Bombyx mori: one gene and its partners. The protein of the gene in region 4 binds, or shares a complex with, the protein of the main gene of each other region. Links are inferred from orthologs where the notes say so. Each region holds a gene or a part of one and is shown on either strand. Other genes may lie near its edges. The genes, in order: mediator of RNA polymerase II transcription subunit 20, cyclin-C, mediator of RNA polymerase II transcription subunit 24 and mediator of RNA polymerase II transcription subunit 25.

Evidence for each region.
Region 1: mediator of RNA polymerase II transcription subunit 25 (region 4) and mediator of RNA polymerase II transcription subunit 20 share a complex: the UniProt entries of both Homo sapiens proteins name them as parts of the mediator complex. The link is inferred for Bombyx mori from reciprocal best matches to the Homo sapiens genes MED25 and MED20.
Region 2: mediator of RNA polymerase II transcription subunit 25 (region 4) and cyclin-C share a complex: the UniProt entries of both Homo sapiens proteins name them as parts of the mediator complex. The link is inferred for Bombyx mori from reciprocal best matches to the Homo sapiens genes MED25 and CCNC.
Region 3: mediator of RNA polymerase II transcription subunit 25 (region 4) and mediator of RNA polymerase II transcription subunit 24 share a complex: the UniProt entries of both Homo sapiens proteins name them as parts of the mediator complex. The link is inferred for Bombyx mori from reciprocal best matches to the Homo sapiens genes MED25 and MED24.

Annotation. Positions count from the first base shown.
Region 1 is NC_085134.1:1,809,408-1,812,497, forward strand, and holds the end of mediator of RNA polymerase II transcription subunit 20, read right to left. Parts: intron 2,727-3,090; coding exon 2,584-2,726; intron 1,795-2,583; coding exon 1,535-1,794; intron 805-1,534; coding exon 595-804; 3' UTR 545-594; downstream 1-544. UniProt on the Homo sapiens protein: Component of the Mediator complex, a coactivator involved in the regulated transcription of nearly all RNA polymerase II-dependent genes.
Region 2 is NC_085121.1:11,205,361-11,209,554, forward strand, and holds the start of cyclin-C, read left to right. Parts: upstream 1-1,353; 5' UTR 1,354-2,641; coding exon 2,642-3,232; intron 3,233-3,313; coding exon 3,314-3,406; intron 3,407-3,512; coding exon 3,513-3,635; 3' UTR 3,636-4,194. UniProt on the Homo sapiens protein: Component of the Mediator complex, a coactivator involved in regulated gene transcription of nearly all RNA polymerase II-dependent genes.
Region 3 is NC_085113.1:5,801,982-5,806,278, reverse strand, and holds the start of mediator of RNA polymerase II transcription subunit 24, read left to right. Parts: upstream 1-1,422; 5' UTR 1,423-2,148; coding exon 2,149-4,297. UniProt on the Homo sapiens protein: Component of the Mediator complex, a coactivator involved in the regulated transcription of nearly all RNA polymerase II-dependent genes.
Region 4 is NC_085126.1:7,906,870-7,911,155, reverse strand, and holds the start of mediator of RNA polymerase II transcription subunit 25, read left to right. Parts: upstream 1-1,478; 5' UTR 1,479-1,645; coding exon 1,646-1,767; intron 1,768-2,701; coding exon 2,702-2,860; intron 2,861-3,409; coding exon 3,410-3,573; intron 3,574-4,286. Other genes in the region: malonate--CoA ligase ACSF3, mitochondrial, read right to left, coding at 482-632. UniProt on the Homo sapiens protein: Component of the Mediator complex, a coactivator involved in the regulated transcription of nearly all RNA polymerase II-dependent genes.

The DNA of each region.
Region 1 (3,090 bases), on a different chromosome or scaffold from region 4:
CCGGTAATTACATTCCCGATCCTGCGGACCGAATGATAAACAGTCGACGTCGCCCAAAACACGTCATTTCGGATCCTCCCGATCCACTAACGGTGCTTTTAGGTACCCCAAGCACCGGTCATCGTTCTCGTCGAACCCTTCGCTTGCGACGAAGGGCTTGGCAAGTAAATGAATCCACAGACAAAGCCCACTGAGTTTCTCCCCAGATCTTCTCAGTGGGTCGCGTTTCCGATCCGGTGGTAGATTCTGCGAAGCATGGCTCTTGCTAAGGTTCATGTTGGCAACGACGCCAGGTTTGAGCCCCGTGATCTCACCTACTAGTTGGGTGAATCTAGAATAACCCCACGAGATCACTACATAGAATAGTAACAATATTTGTCTGATTAATGTCATTAGAAAGATTTAAAGTTCGAACCTCTCAAGTTTAACATTATTAACAATCTACCTGCCAGAGACAACTTTCTAAAAAAATCTCTTGACTCTATGTCCCTACTTAAAACATAACTACCAGACATTTGTCATAGAACAACTAAAAACGAATGAGTAAAATGTACATATTTATTTAATAAAAAAACACAAAACAGTCAACTTAGTTCATGTCGTTCTCATCCCTGTAGTCTTTCTGTAAGCACTGAAATGTTCTAAATACTGATATATTGTGTCTATTGGAGTGTATATTTCGTTCATTCTGCTTATTAGATGCTGAGGAGGTTGGACCGGAACAGTTGGCCCTAACAATCCTTGAAGGAACTCTCGAAGCAGACCCCAGACCGCATTAGCCATTACGCATGGTCTGTATTCTACCTAGAAATTATAGAACATATTCTAATGATACTGTGAATAATATCAATATAGTCTGAGATATTGAGGCAATGACAGAGAGTTAGGGAAAAGAGAATTGATAGATTGAATTGATTGATAGATTGACTCCTACACATCCAGTCTAGTCTATGCAACAATATGAAAGTCTAGCCGTTGCCCCTTGGCCAAAAATGTGTTTTGAGTATTAATTAGCACCAGATAGACGGTGAGCTCGAACATCTAATACTAAGAAAACTCAAAAAAAAGAGATGCCTAATGTATGCCTGACAATTAAATTTCCATAGAAAAAATAGCTTCATATTGTTATAATTATCAAGCCTATTCAATCCCCAAAACTAGGTATGACCTTTGGGCATATTTCTGCCACAAGGCACCACCACGCCACCAAGGTGTTCCACTTTAAATAATAGGTAACAGTTATCTAATATAATTGGCACTTCAACCTCATGTATTAAGGTAGCCAATGTCAAGTATGATATAATTTTCATGGTCCCTAATATTCACTACGCAAATTTTGAAAACTTTGACAACAACAGCAATCTATAAAAAACAAAGATTTTTTTAACATAATATTACGGAAGTATTCTTTTTAGGAACGTATTTCTCCATCTATCTTTATGTACTATTATAGATATAGTGACGGACGTTCTGGATGCCTCCAAGTGTTCACATATATTAACATAGCTATTCACTAATTATTCAATTCACTCACCTCAATCAAAATCCCTTTAAAATTCTGATTCATAGTAACTGATCCGAGCTTCACACAGAAATCTCCGAGCTCAAACCTAGGTCCTTTGCTCTCGATTTTGGTTTGTTTCTTAGAAGTATAATGCTGAGACAACTTCATCATTAACAAGTCAAATAGTCCGTCAGCTATGACGTGAATATTTTTCGTGCCACTTTCAAGGATTGAGAAGACAGACGCAGGCTGCTCAGAGTTGTGTAATATATGTACTGTTTTTGTTGTACCTGGAATATTTGAGTTACGTTTTTGCTGTCAGAAATTTTAAAAGCAGCATTAGACAAAACTTTAGGTAAGTGTGTTTCGTATTGTTAATTTCCACAAGCGTATGCAAGTAATGGTAACCGTTAAGTGGTCTGGCTGAATTTGATGAAAAGATAATAAATATTGGTATCAGCATCTCATCAACTTTTCAATTCAACTATCAAGTACACGATTAGCTTTGGTTTTTATAAATTCCTTGCATTTTATTTTTTATTGCTTAGATGGGAGCTCTCATCCCACCTGATGTTAAGTGGATGGATGGTGGTTACTGGAGCTCATAGATATCTACAACATAAATGCCCCACCCACCTTGAGATATAAGTTCTAAGGTCTCAGTATAGTTACAACGGCTGCCCCACCCTTTAAACCAAAAAGCATTACTGCTTCACAGCAGAAATAGGTGTGATGGTGGTAACCGTGAGGACTCACAAGACGTCCTACCGCCAGCAATTACACAAATTATAACTTTGCGGGTTCGATTTTTATTACACGATGTTATTCCTTCACTGTGGAAGTCAATCGTGAATATTTGTTAAGTACGTATTTCATTCGAAAATTGGTACCCACCTTCGGGCCACATAGGCCACGAGGACTTTAAGTACAATAAACTAGCTGACACCTTTGTAATGTCTGAAATATTTTCAAATATGTCATATCCATGTATTGGCGATGGGCTGTGTGATTTCTCTATAAATCGCTAAGTGGAATGTGTCTTTCTTTTTACTTTTAGCTTGGATTCAGTAAACACGTACCCATGAGTGGATGTGATAAATAACTCTCGCAATCAACCAGGAACTGTCCTTGTTGTGTCGCCCCTAATGCTAAGATACGCTTTGTAAGTAACTCCACTACATATGTTCCGGTCTTGTTCTCTGGCACTGGATATTGCTGTAAGCTGTCAAGTTAATAATTGAAACAGTTTATTAAATATAATCCACTCTTCACGATTTTTTTATGGTAGATTTTGTAGTTGTATCAAAAACATAATAAATAGATTTGTTTCGTTATTATTTTTAATGATACTCTTCCTTCAGTCTGGCCAAACTGTGTCAAAAATAAGCTACACTAACATGTATTTTTATTCGGGGATAGTTTTCATACACCGGATAAGGTTAAAGAAGAATTTGAGATAACGTATGAAGTCAAGAAGTTTACTTTCTACCTTTACATAGAGTTATTACTTTTATTAGTATTAGTATTATACATCGCGGTATATTTTTATGAATGTAATTATAGGAATACCACACAATAATAACGTT
Region 2 (4,194 bases), on a different chromosome or scaffold from region 4:
ACAGAAAACACAACTTAGCAAATATATTCCACAGTTAATCTAAATAATTGCAAATAATGCTTTTGAAGATCGTTGACTTTTGATCATTAATTAAAATCATCTTCTCGTAGAATTTACAAAAGCTCATTTACAAAAATTTATATCAGTATTTTCATATATTACTAACTTACTAATTACAACTATTCAAAACGTAATAGTATAACTATAAGAACTAAACAACCTATTTTAAAACAAAATTGGCATCAATTTAGTTCTTATGAACTATTTCAATTATTAATTTATAAATTATAAACATATTTAAAAAAAATTAAGATCCCTTGTGAGTTCACATTCCTTGCTGAATCAGTTTCTCTTCTGAAACGGAGAAACAAAGTATCTTAAGTATGTAACAAATATTGAAAAAATACGACCATGAAAAATTTAGTGTTAATGTAATCATACTTACAAATTAATATATTACATAACACGTTCTGGTTCAAATATAGTGCATCAATCTTTTCATGTTTCAGACATTTTAGTGCTCCTTATAATTTTTCCATAAAATTTTGTCATTATCAAACCTTTGTCTACAAAAATAAAAACATTATTTTATATTGGGTAGAAGGATGAACGTGGTCACAGGCCACTTGGTGTAACTTGGTTATCAAACACCAGGAAACAAAATGTGAATGCCATCATTTAACTTTGGATGTGAGATCAATTGTGCTGTATTTTATTTAAACAGGAAAGCATGACTATCAATCAGTCATGCTTTCCTGTTTATTCCATTCCAAAAAACTAGTTCGGGCCCACTTGACAATAAGCATATAATACGCTGAGTTGCAAAACATAAATACTTCCACCCACTCGAGACAATTTTATTATCTGAGGTGTGTGTGTGATAGTACGAGACTTAACACCGACTGTTTTGATCAAACTTAACATATATGATAGCTAGGCAGCAGAAATAGGAAGGACCATTAGTTGGTGCTAATTCATTTAATTATATTATGAATAATAATTCTGTTAGCAAATAATATACCGGGAAAATAGTGTAAACTCACCGTTATCAAGGCATCCGAAATAGCATTTCATTTTCGATCTTCGAGGCATGCTGATTTTTAATAATAAACTTTCTGTAAGAAACGAAAATAGTTACACAGGCTTACGAAACGCTAACGAAGAAAAAAGTATTGGAACCAAGTTATGTCTAAAGAGAATTCAAAACAGAGTTTCTCAATGTCTAATCGTCTAATATTCTCATAAAGCTAAAAGATGCTCTAAATTAATACTACAACGTAAAATAACTCACACCAAGACAAAAAAAAAACGATTTAAAAAATTAAATCGTTACGACATTTTGAAAACGTTTTTTTTTTTTTTTGAGATTGTTTTACGGCCCTGGAATTTTGAAAACTTCAAAGCAGTGTTTCCACTTACGTTTTTTTAAACACATTTTACCCTAGTTTCTTTTGAATTTATCCCTAAAATTTCCTAGACAACTTTCATAAATCCTTTATATAGAAAGTATAAATAAAATACAGAAAATAAACCACAGCATATTATTTAATGTAGGTATATATAATATAAACGCCCCCAGAAGATCATAGATATATAGGATTAGAATTTTCAAGGAAGTCGACGCATTGCTTTTATATTCTTTTGCTGCACGCAACCTAACACTGTTCGGTTCTAAAATTGAGCAATTGTTTGCTGGCAAAGTTGGGAACTTTCTATGAAGCAAGCCGTTCAGGGTTTCATTAGAAAGCCTGTTTCTTTTGTCAGTTTTTACATTTGAGAACACTGAATTATCTTTCCACCTCAGTCTTTGAAGAAGGAACTGCTAGCAAAAGTGAAATGACAATTACAAGGTTTTCGTAAATGAAATTACCATGATAATCTTTCATGGTACATGAAGTACCTGTATATTACAATACAAGTAAGTTCTGGTGACATCAACGAAAATAGGTAAATAAAAGTTTGGCGGATTATACTTATTGGGATTCTGGGGAATCCCTAAGAAAAAAGCAGTGGCTTAATCTATAATTTACTTTACTAGAGGGTTACTGTTGAATCAAACCTTCTTTATAGTTTTTATACACAACTCTGTTTTATTCTTTTACTTGTCAACTCGACTTAATGTCATTCTCTCTCCATAAAATAAAATGTTCATTGTTTTACTTTAATTATCGTTTATTTTAAAATTCACAACAGTTACTAGTATAGGCTTTGCTTTTTACCCCGAACTATCCTAAATCCTGGTATTTTTTAAATTGTCTTTATCATCCAAAATATCAGCTATTTTTCCCTAAAAAAGGGAGAATTCCCTAAAAGTGGAAGCACTGCTTCAAAGTACGCTAACCTTTTTTATTGAGTCAGAACTCGTACCTGCCATCTAGTGAGTTTATTAGATCATTAAGGCCAAAACGTTTCAAAAATGACCTCGCCGGTTCCTAAAGATGACGCTAGTTGAATGTTCTTTTCCTTTGTATGGGAGTTGCACCCCCCTGGTTATGCATACATATTACTAAAATACACAGTTTCAAAAGTTTCATAGAATAGGAATGGATGGAAAAATGTTAAATTTGTAAAAAAAGTATGTTTTTTTGATAAATCAAAATTTACCAAATTTTAATAATTATTGTGTTTTGCCTTTGAAGAAATGGCTGGAAATTTTTGGCAAAGCTCACATCATCAACAATGGATACTCGATAAGCAAGAGCTAAGGCGCGATCGCCAGTTTGATTTGAATATTTTATCAGAAGAAGAATACCAAAAAGTATTTAATTTTTTTGCTAGTATAATTCAAGTTTTAGGCGAACAACTTAAACTTCGTCAGCAAGTAATCGCAACTGCAACAGTTTACTTTAAAAGATTTTATGCAAGGAACTCTTTGAAGTGTATTGATCCACTTCTTTTGGCACCAACATGCGTATTTCTTGCATCTAAAGTTGAAGAATTTGGTGTTATATCCAATTCCAGATTAATAACAACCTGCCAGACAGTTATAAAAAATAAGTTTAGTTATGCTTATGGACAACAAGAGTTCCCGTACAGGACAAATCACATTCTGGAGTGTGAATTTTATTTACTAGAAAATTTAGATTGTTGTTTAATTGTATACCAACCATATAGACCATTACTACTTTTTGTCCAAGACATAGGACAAGATGATCAACTTCTGACATACGCTTGGAGAATAGTAAACGATTCCTTGAGAACAGATGTTAGTTTGTTGTACCCACCCTATCAGGTATGATTTATGTAATGCAAATAGTCACATTTCATTTTTTATTCATAAAACTTTTCATTGCCATTATATTTTGAATTACAGATTGCAATTGGTGCCTTACAAATAGCATGTGTGATGCTTGGTAAAGACAATCTCAAACCTTGGTTTGCTGAGCTAAATGTTGACATGGATAAAGTGAGAAATATACTTGAATATATATTAAAATTAAAAAAAATATGGTTATTGTGTGGTTGTATTACAAAACTTCTGAAACTACTCATTTAAAAATTCAAATTTACAGATCCAAGAAATTGTGAGAGCTATCATTAACCTTTATGAGATGTGGAAAAGTTATGATGAAAAAAAAGAAATACAAGGGCTATTGTCCAAGATGCCCAAACCAAAGCCAGCTCCCCAGAGATAGCAAGACATATTTTGTAGTATGGATTTGTATAATGGATATATAATTTTTAATTGTAGACATGAAAAATTTGTTTTTAATTCCCTAGGAAAAGAAATTACTATTTTTGATGAGGTCACTTATATTTCAAGTGATTTTTATGAATTTTTTCAACCATAAACAAATACAGTGTAGAGCACACTTTAGAGCATAAATTAAAAGAACAAGAACTAAGTTATTTAATTTTCCATCACAAGCCAAAGATACTCTCTTTATTGGTTGTTATGTGATTTAAGACTATTGTATCCTATTGTAGCCTTTAGACACAAAAGTAAATTATTCCTTTATTTCAAGTTTAATGTTTAAATAATGTCATTGTATTGCTATGCTGCCCAATAACATTGTTCATATAAGTAAACTGACAAAGATAAGTAAGATGACAAAAGCTAAAGAAAAAAGGCAATTCTAATGAATTTAGTCTTATCTGTCTGCATGTTTTTGAGCATTGATACTTCATTCATTAACTGTGTTGCATTTGTTCACATTTTACAACATTTGTCAACATTAACAATTTTGAACATTG
Region 3 (4,297 bases), on a different chromosome or scaffold from region 4:
TTTAGAATTAAGTGACTTTTTAAGTCGAGCACTGTCCAAACTTAAATTTTGGCTTGTCTCCAACGCTCTTAATCTTTCTGTTTCAAAAAGTTGCATTGTGTTATTTTCTAGAATGCGGCTTCCTCCTCCTGTTTCCGTATATTTTGATAATGAACTTATTCCATCTGAAAATGAAATAAAATTTTTAGGAGTTATTCTAGACGCCAAATTATCAGGTTTATCACATTGTTATTACGTTATAGCTAGATGCGAACGAGTTTTGAATATTATGAGATGTTTAACTGGAGTCTGGTGGGGTGGACATCCATATAATCTAAAGCTCCTATACAACGCTCTCATACGAAGTATTTTAGATTATGGTACTTACTTTCTTGAACCATGTAATGCAGTCGGACTAAATAAGCTTGATGGCATACAATCAAAAGCTCTCCGTTTAATAACCGGTGCAATGAAATCTAGTCCTATCAATGCTTTACAAGTTGAGTGTGTTGACCCTCCTCTGCGACTCCGTCGTCAATATCTTTGTGACAAGTTTCTGTTCCGTGCTCTACAATTTACCAAGCATCCCCTTCATACCAAATTATCTACTTTATCACATTTAGTTTCATCTTCCCCCTACTGGAGGCACAAGTCTCTACCTTGTTTAGTCGTGAGTTTTCGTAAATTTTCCTCTTTGCTTGCCCCCACTCACATGTCTCATCGTCTCTCTATTTTTTCTGCTGAATATGAAGCATTAACTCTTGTTCCTAAAATTCATTTTACCTTAGATATATCTCGATCTATTTTTTCTGCCAATATCGATTTTAATATCATCTTAGATAGAGAGTGGTCAGATCGACATTACATTTATAGCGATGCATCTAAAAATTCTTCCTCTGGTCTCGTTGGTGTTGGAGTTTATCATCAACAATCAAAAATTGTCCAAAAAATTAAACTTCCACCAGAAAGCTCTGTTTTTACTGGGGAATGCTACGGATTATTTAAAGCTATAGAATATGTTAATTTGATGAAATTACATAAATCTGTTATTTTTTCTGATTCCAAAAGTGCGCTTCAGGCACTTCAGAAATTTCCTTTCAAATCTTGCGCCAATTACCCTGTTATTGTAGATTGTAGAAAATTACTGTGGGAATGTAATTTAAAAGGTTTCGATGTAATTTTTGCCTGGATTCCTAGTCACGTGGGTATTTCTGGCAATGAATTTGCTGATAAACTTGCCAATGATGCTGTGGATTGTGGAGATATTTATCCATACAAAATCTTCATAAATGATCTTTTGTGTCTTCCGAATTCAGACCTGCGCGAATCTTGGGGACAAACATGGGCTATTTCTAGTCAATATAAAGGAAAGAATTATGCCCAAATACAATCTGTCATTCCTACCAAGCCTTGGTTTTACAATTTTAGATTTAATAAGATCACGACTACTATCATAATCCGGATGAGACTGGGTCATGCTTGCACTCCATCTCATTTGACTAGATTGGGTATAGTCAATAACAATATGTGTGATTGCGGCGCTGATGTTGGCAATTTAAATCATATTTTTTTCGCGTGCTCCTTAAATGACTGTTCCTCATTTATTGATTTATTAACATCCCTTGGTATTCCACTCCCGACTTCTATTAATACTTTGCTGTGTACTATGAACTATGATATTTATTTATGTATTTCAAATTTTATCCTGAAACATAATATCAAATTGTAATTATGTATATAAATACCTACCTGATCCATTCTTTTTAATTATCCGTTTTTTCCTTTTTCTCCTGTTTCCCTACCTTTACCCTTGTATGTGGCTAAATGCACAAACAGTGCAAGCTAAAAAAGAAAAAAAAAAAAAAAAAAAAAAAAAAAAAAAAAAAATGTCTATTTTGTGATTGGGCTATTATTATTCAAGTTTGATCATATAAAGTAATGTTTATTCTCAAATGCTCGCTATAAATAAAATATCTTTAAAAATGTGATAAACTTAATATGCCACACAAATATAACGAATTAATTTCAATATTCAACAGTGAACAAGAAAATGTAATTTGTAACCTCAAAGACTAGTAGTAAAGTGTTGTTTAAACGACTAATATCACGTCAAAAATGTGTGAAATGTAAGAAAGAAACATTATTGTGCTCTAATAAAATACAATAAAAATGGATGCTTCCAAAATAACGAGTAAAACTAGTTCACTAAAAGCTTTAATTTTAAAAGCTTGGAAAGAACGATGGACTGATATTCAATGGGGCATCAACATCAAAACTATACTGCCGAGGGGCGTCAGTGGTGACCTATATAATCTGGCTGATTGTATTCTTCAACAAGCCATGGTAGGCTGTGGGGCCAATCAGTTAGTGATATCGTATTTGAAACATTCACTTGCGTGTCATTTGGTCTCTTTCGCGGCTGTGTTACAACGAATCGCAAAATTTGATGCTTTTCACAAACCTCATTGTATAATAAGCTTGTTGGAGTTCCTTGAAACCTTTTTGGAGAGTATTACATGCAGAGGCAAGTTAGAAGAAGAAGTTTTAGCTTATGCTGTATCATCTATAATATTGTGGCTTTTACAAGTATTTCACTATTCATTAACCAAGTATCCAGCTTCAAGTTCTGTTCAAAGTCAGGAATTATTGGAGAAATCATCAGTTTTACTGAACTCTATTGTTAATACAGATTTTCTGATTGCAATGTTCTATTTGGCCAAGCAGAATGATCCTGATGAGTATAACGAAGTGACAAAGAAATGTCAAGAGATAACAGCATTTATGATGATGAACACTCAATTCAAACCTCCGATGACCATACATGTCACTTTACACAAAATCTGCAATATGGAATTGGATAAAATAGCACCCTTAAACAATAAACCAGAAGCTGTAACCTATTGTCTGCAGGCTTTAATAGCTATAAATGTGTTCTCAAACCCTAGTGCAGGCATGCAACAGATCTCCAGCCAACTACTAATGGTTCAGAAAATAAAAGGCTATTCATTGTCACGTCTCTACTGTGAACTTATTAGAGCTTGTTTCATTTCACTAAATGATTCTAGTAATGATGCATCGAAGCAATCATTGTGGGCTGCATTCACTTTTCTAAAAGTTCCACAAGTGATAAATCACCTCCATAATATGTGTGGGACAACAAATAAGGAAAGTGAATATTCTACTGAGGTTGTGGAAGCTTTTGAAATGTTATTACAATCAGCTCCACTCCTGGATATTGTTGATACGAAGAATTCTTGTAATAGTGTTATTTCACTTATAGAGCCATTAGTTAAACTTAATGTTCTGTCAGATAATACTTTGACATATTTTAAACAAAAACGTGAGACTATTGATCATCCTTTACAAAAATTTGAGCCAATAGGATTACAAGGCTCAGTCCCATTATTTATAACTCGTGTTGAACCTACATTGGCAGAGATTTTAAAAGCATTGAGTGGTGAATTTCACAAAACTCAAGAGTCGCTCTATATCATGCTATGCCAAATAGTTGGTCGAACTACATTGGATACCATCCTGGCCGTTGCAACTGTGGAAGGAAAACTAAAAATGTTTGTGTCAAGACTCATTAAGTTTAATGAATTTGCATTGTTTGCTGCAAGTGAAAAAGGTGCACCACAATCAAAAGTATATATATTTGACATTTCATTTTTGCTTTTATGTTGGATAGTCCAAGATTATGGAGCTGATGTTGTTCTAGAAGAAAATGGTGATTCATTTTTTGAGAAATGGGTAAGGGATTGTATGGTACATAAAGGAAATTATAAATCTTCAGATCAGATACTTCAGAAATGTGATCATGTTGTTGATGTTATCATTCACCATTTGAGTGCTCCTGACTTTGATTTCAAAAATACTAATGTCAAACCTCATGATCTTTGTATGAATATCACTGGTGCAGTCAAAGAGGTTCTTTTTGCTTGGGAACAAGGTCTACTTTCGGCAACAGATGTTAAAAGAATGTTGGATTCTATAAGACAAAAAATGGCTTCCTTGGCAGTGTGTGCATCAGTATGGCTTTGTTCATACATCAATGTTGTCCATCAAGATGCATCAATAAAACCCATGAATATGGTTCAGCAATTTTTAACATCACCTACTGAATTAGAATTAACTCAAATAGACAATTTTCAAGAAAGAGCAATTTTGATGTGTCAGATAATAAGAAAATTACTGTTTAAAATTCATCCTACCTCAATGCCAAAATCAAAAGAGCAGCAGTTGCCATACAGTATCACCTCTCGCAAGCCAATATTAGAGCAACTACAAAGCATTTGGGAAAATATAAAGTCTAGAGGAT
Region 4 (4,286 bases):
ATTGTATACAGTTTATTCCACCCTTGTATAACAATACAACCGAGGGTTTGACCTCATGTCTTAAAGGTGGTATTCAAGTTGTTCATCCAGTCATCGTGGATCTGACAAATACCATCAACAGCCAGGGTGCAAGCTGAAGAAACTTAATAATTTCAATTCAAAGCAGCAATCCAGATTTCCAAACTTAGATAACATTAGGACAGGGTTACAGCAAGCCGTAGACATGGAATTTGGATAGCCAGTGGCAGACGCAGCGGTCACCTCGCTTCCAGGGCGGCGTACCTGCCAATACGACACTACACAACTCTCACAGTTAGGGACAAACCAAACACGGGAGCTCCTTATAATGGCAGTATACGTATGTAAAAGCGGTGCATCGTCTGGTCAGGCCACCGCAATTGGATCCCGTTTAACGCCAACAAGTTCATCAAGACTAGACAATTAGGAGTGAGATCTGTTTAAGGTGAACGAAACAACTTACCATCTTGAATATCTTTATTGAAACTCGTCAGTAGCTCGGTATTCACTTCATCTTTGGCCGCGACATTAACTACACTTCTGTAACTTGTTAAAGCGAGGGGTTTTCTCAAAAGCCGGTTGATCAAACGACACGAACGAAAAGTTATTTCCATCGCAATAATTTTTTTGTTGCAAGTGATTCCCGTATTCAAGCTACGGACTGGACGAAAGCCACTATCAAACACGAACTCTGCTAAATTGAACTATTTTAGTTGTAGTACTACTAGTAGTTTGGAGAATGATCAAATTAATCATTCAAGTTTTGTCCAAAACCTAAAGCAGTCTCAGGGCTCGTATTGACTTTGACACAGTCAGCTGACTGCGGTCCATTATTATTTTGATCACCAATACCGGTAAAGGAAACATATTACATACTTCATAACGAAGTCCCATAAGTAAATGATAAAGATAATCTAAGATTACATAAATATTCTTAATTTTTTTTATTGCTTAGGTGGAGGAACGAGCTCACGTCCTACCTGGTGTTAAGTGGTGATTTGTTACCGGAGTCCATAGACATCTACGACATAACCTACCTTGAGATATAAGTTCTAAAGGTCTCAGTTTTTACAGCACAACGGCTACTCGGGCTACTCCACTCTTCAAACCGAAATGCATTACTGCTTTAAGATAGAAATAGGCAGGGCGGTGGGTACCTACGCGTGTGGGCTCACAAGACGTCCTACCATCAGTAATTACGGATATTTAAATTTTTCGGGTTTCATTTTTATTAAACTATGTTATTCCTTCACCGTAAATGACAGGAAAAATAAAATGTATAAAACTCTCTGATGTGAAGGTTCATTTTCGTACTTAGTTTTTGAGTTCCTGATCTCAAAAATAAAACATCGATTTGAAAAATAAACATTAAAATATGAAATGTTGCACATCGCTCAAAATTATCGACTTGCTAAATAAAAAAGTTCGAGATGTCAATATTTCACCTTGCTAGTTTATTCTTCCACTACCATCATAGATTATAGACTACCATACCTATAAACAAACATCATATTAACAAACATTCAATTTTATTCTTTTAAATTAAGTGAATTAAATGATTATGCTAAAGTTTTCATAGATTTGTCACATTTTAGAATATCATACAAAAATATTAAACTAAGTCGCAATGGTGGCTAACGCACCGGAAACTCCTGTACAAGCGGAGATAGTGTTTGTGATTGAGGCGACCGCTGTTAACGGTGCCTTCATAAACGAACTAAAAGTAAATTATCTTATACCCACATTAGAGTAAGTTAACCATTACAAATAAACTTAAAATAACAATAAAAATCTATTAAAACGTTGAAGCGTCTTCGTCGTTGTCTTAGTAATTATTTATTTTTGTCGTGTTTGTAGATGAGTGGGTTCACGGCTCATCTGGTAATTAACTGAAGGCCATAGAGAGCACAACATAAATGACTACTCTGGATTTGTTGTTGTGACTGTCCTTCGGGGGCTTATCTTGTCTTATAGTGACAAATTTCAACTTTAATACGTTGAATGCAACATGAAAAATCAAGTATTTTCATTCAGGCCATGGTGCTGACCGGTGTTTCTTGTCTTATTGAACCGGGTCACCCGTGGGCCGCGTCAGGGTTCCAATAAGCCACAGATTTCAGTTATGAAACAAAACATATATGGAAGTGAGCAGCGTGGTCCATTAGCCATACCGAACGCCTTGGTTTTCAAATCCAGTGTTTATCAAGCCTCTTAAAATATCTTAGAAACTAGATTGTATAAGTTGCTAATTTTTATATTTTCTGTAAATTGTCACAGTTTTTAAATATTAGAGTGACAATCTGAAGTTGATAAAAGTTACTGATTCCCTGATTTTGACTTGGCTATAGTACGCTAGACCCACCGGTGGGCCGCCTCGTGTTCAACACATTAATTTATTTCAACTTGAATATTATAGAAATACTTTGGGCCCCAATTTGTGAAGCCCAGTTCGCCTAATCAGTACATGACCAGCTGTCTGTCTATATGGGGGCTCGTCCACCTACACAGTTCTATACCGTCACCTTATTTAGTTCAGCTTGGTACGTTTGATGGAAATAGCCGTTCATTTTATCCGTTAAACTCAATTTCTGTTTACAATATATTCTTTTGTTTTTACAATAGAAAAATCGAAATACAGTAAAACATGTTATTATCAAATCACATTATTTTCTCATTTTTTCAGATATTTCCATGGCGGTGCTCTCGAAGAAGGCAGTGGTACTGGCTCTGTATATGCAATAGTTACATACAAGGCTGCAGACTGCCACCCTGGAGTACCAGTATCAGTTTATGGACCCTTCAACAATCCTCAGAATGTAGTTGAAGCTGTTGATAAAATACAGTAAGTAGAAGGAGATGAAATAATAATTGGGCTTATGACATCTATACTTCTATACTAATATTATATAATATATATCATATCATATATATTATATATATAATTATAAAGAGGACAGATTTGTTTGTTTGTTTGTATTGAATAGGCTTCAAAACTACTGAACTGATTTGAAAAATTCTTTCACTGTTAACTACACTATTCTGGAGTGACATAGGATAAAATCTTTTTTTTTTTAAATTAGGGATCCTTACTAAAACTCCAATAATGGTTTAAAAACCCAAGGTTTAAAAAATTACCTAAAATAATTTTAATGTCTTGACCAGTATCCACAAGATGAAAGTAAAGATGAATGATGTTAATTTAGTTTTGTTTATTATTTAAAAAATATTTAAAAAATGAAATGAAAGGGGAATTTTATTTTTAAAGTACTTAATGCTATACATAATAAACATTAATAAATGATGTAATTATATAAAACAATAATTTACACATTTGTAATGAAATATTTCTGTATTTGTGTGAAACCAAGCATATAAATAAACAAAACTTCAGATTCATTGGGGGACATGCGGAGAGCAGAGCTTGTATCACTGAAGCCCTAACAACAGCCTTGACATGTTTCGATGAGTTTGGTCGTATTGATGCACCGATGTATGCTGTCTTAATGTGCTGCTCCCCACCTTACTCTGCCTACGCCGGAGGAATAGTTCCACCAGGTAAACTAATTTAGTTTTGTCTAAATCTTTAGAAAAACACAACATATTCAAATTTTTTTTAATTCAAAATTTAATTTATTTTTGATTTCTCATTTTTATTTATAATATATGTCTGTTTTGATTGGGTACAATATTTATATATAATATAATATACCGATTTATATATAATTAGCCGTACTCGCCTGCTTCGCTGGGCATTTAAAATTAACATTATTATTTATTGTGTTATTGTTGTTATTATTATTAGGGAGTCCAACACTCATATAGATATTAGCCTATCCATTAAGTACATGTATTTTCTACATGGACACCAAGTTTCAAGTCAATCGGATGCATGGTTCAGTAGTTATAACAGAACATCTGTAAAAACCACTGTAGATTTATATATTATTAGTATTAGTATAGATCTATAATAAATAAAACAACCATCATTGTATTAATGAAATCACTGACGGATACTGCTTCAATTCAATGAATTGCATTCATATATAATTACTAGCTGACCCGGCAAACGTTGTTTTGCCATATAAAAGATTTCTAGGGTAGAAAAAAAAAACTAACTTATTGTAAGTGTGTAAGGATTTACAAATAAAAAATAAGGGTTGATCGTAGAGGGGTGAAAATTTAGGGTTGTATGTATTTTTGTATTCTGTATCATAAAAAAATAAAAACAAATTTTTTTGTCTAAAAAATAAAAAAATTAATTTAGGGGT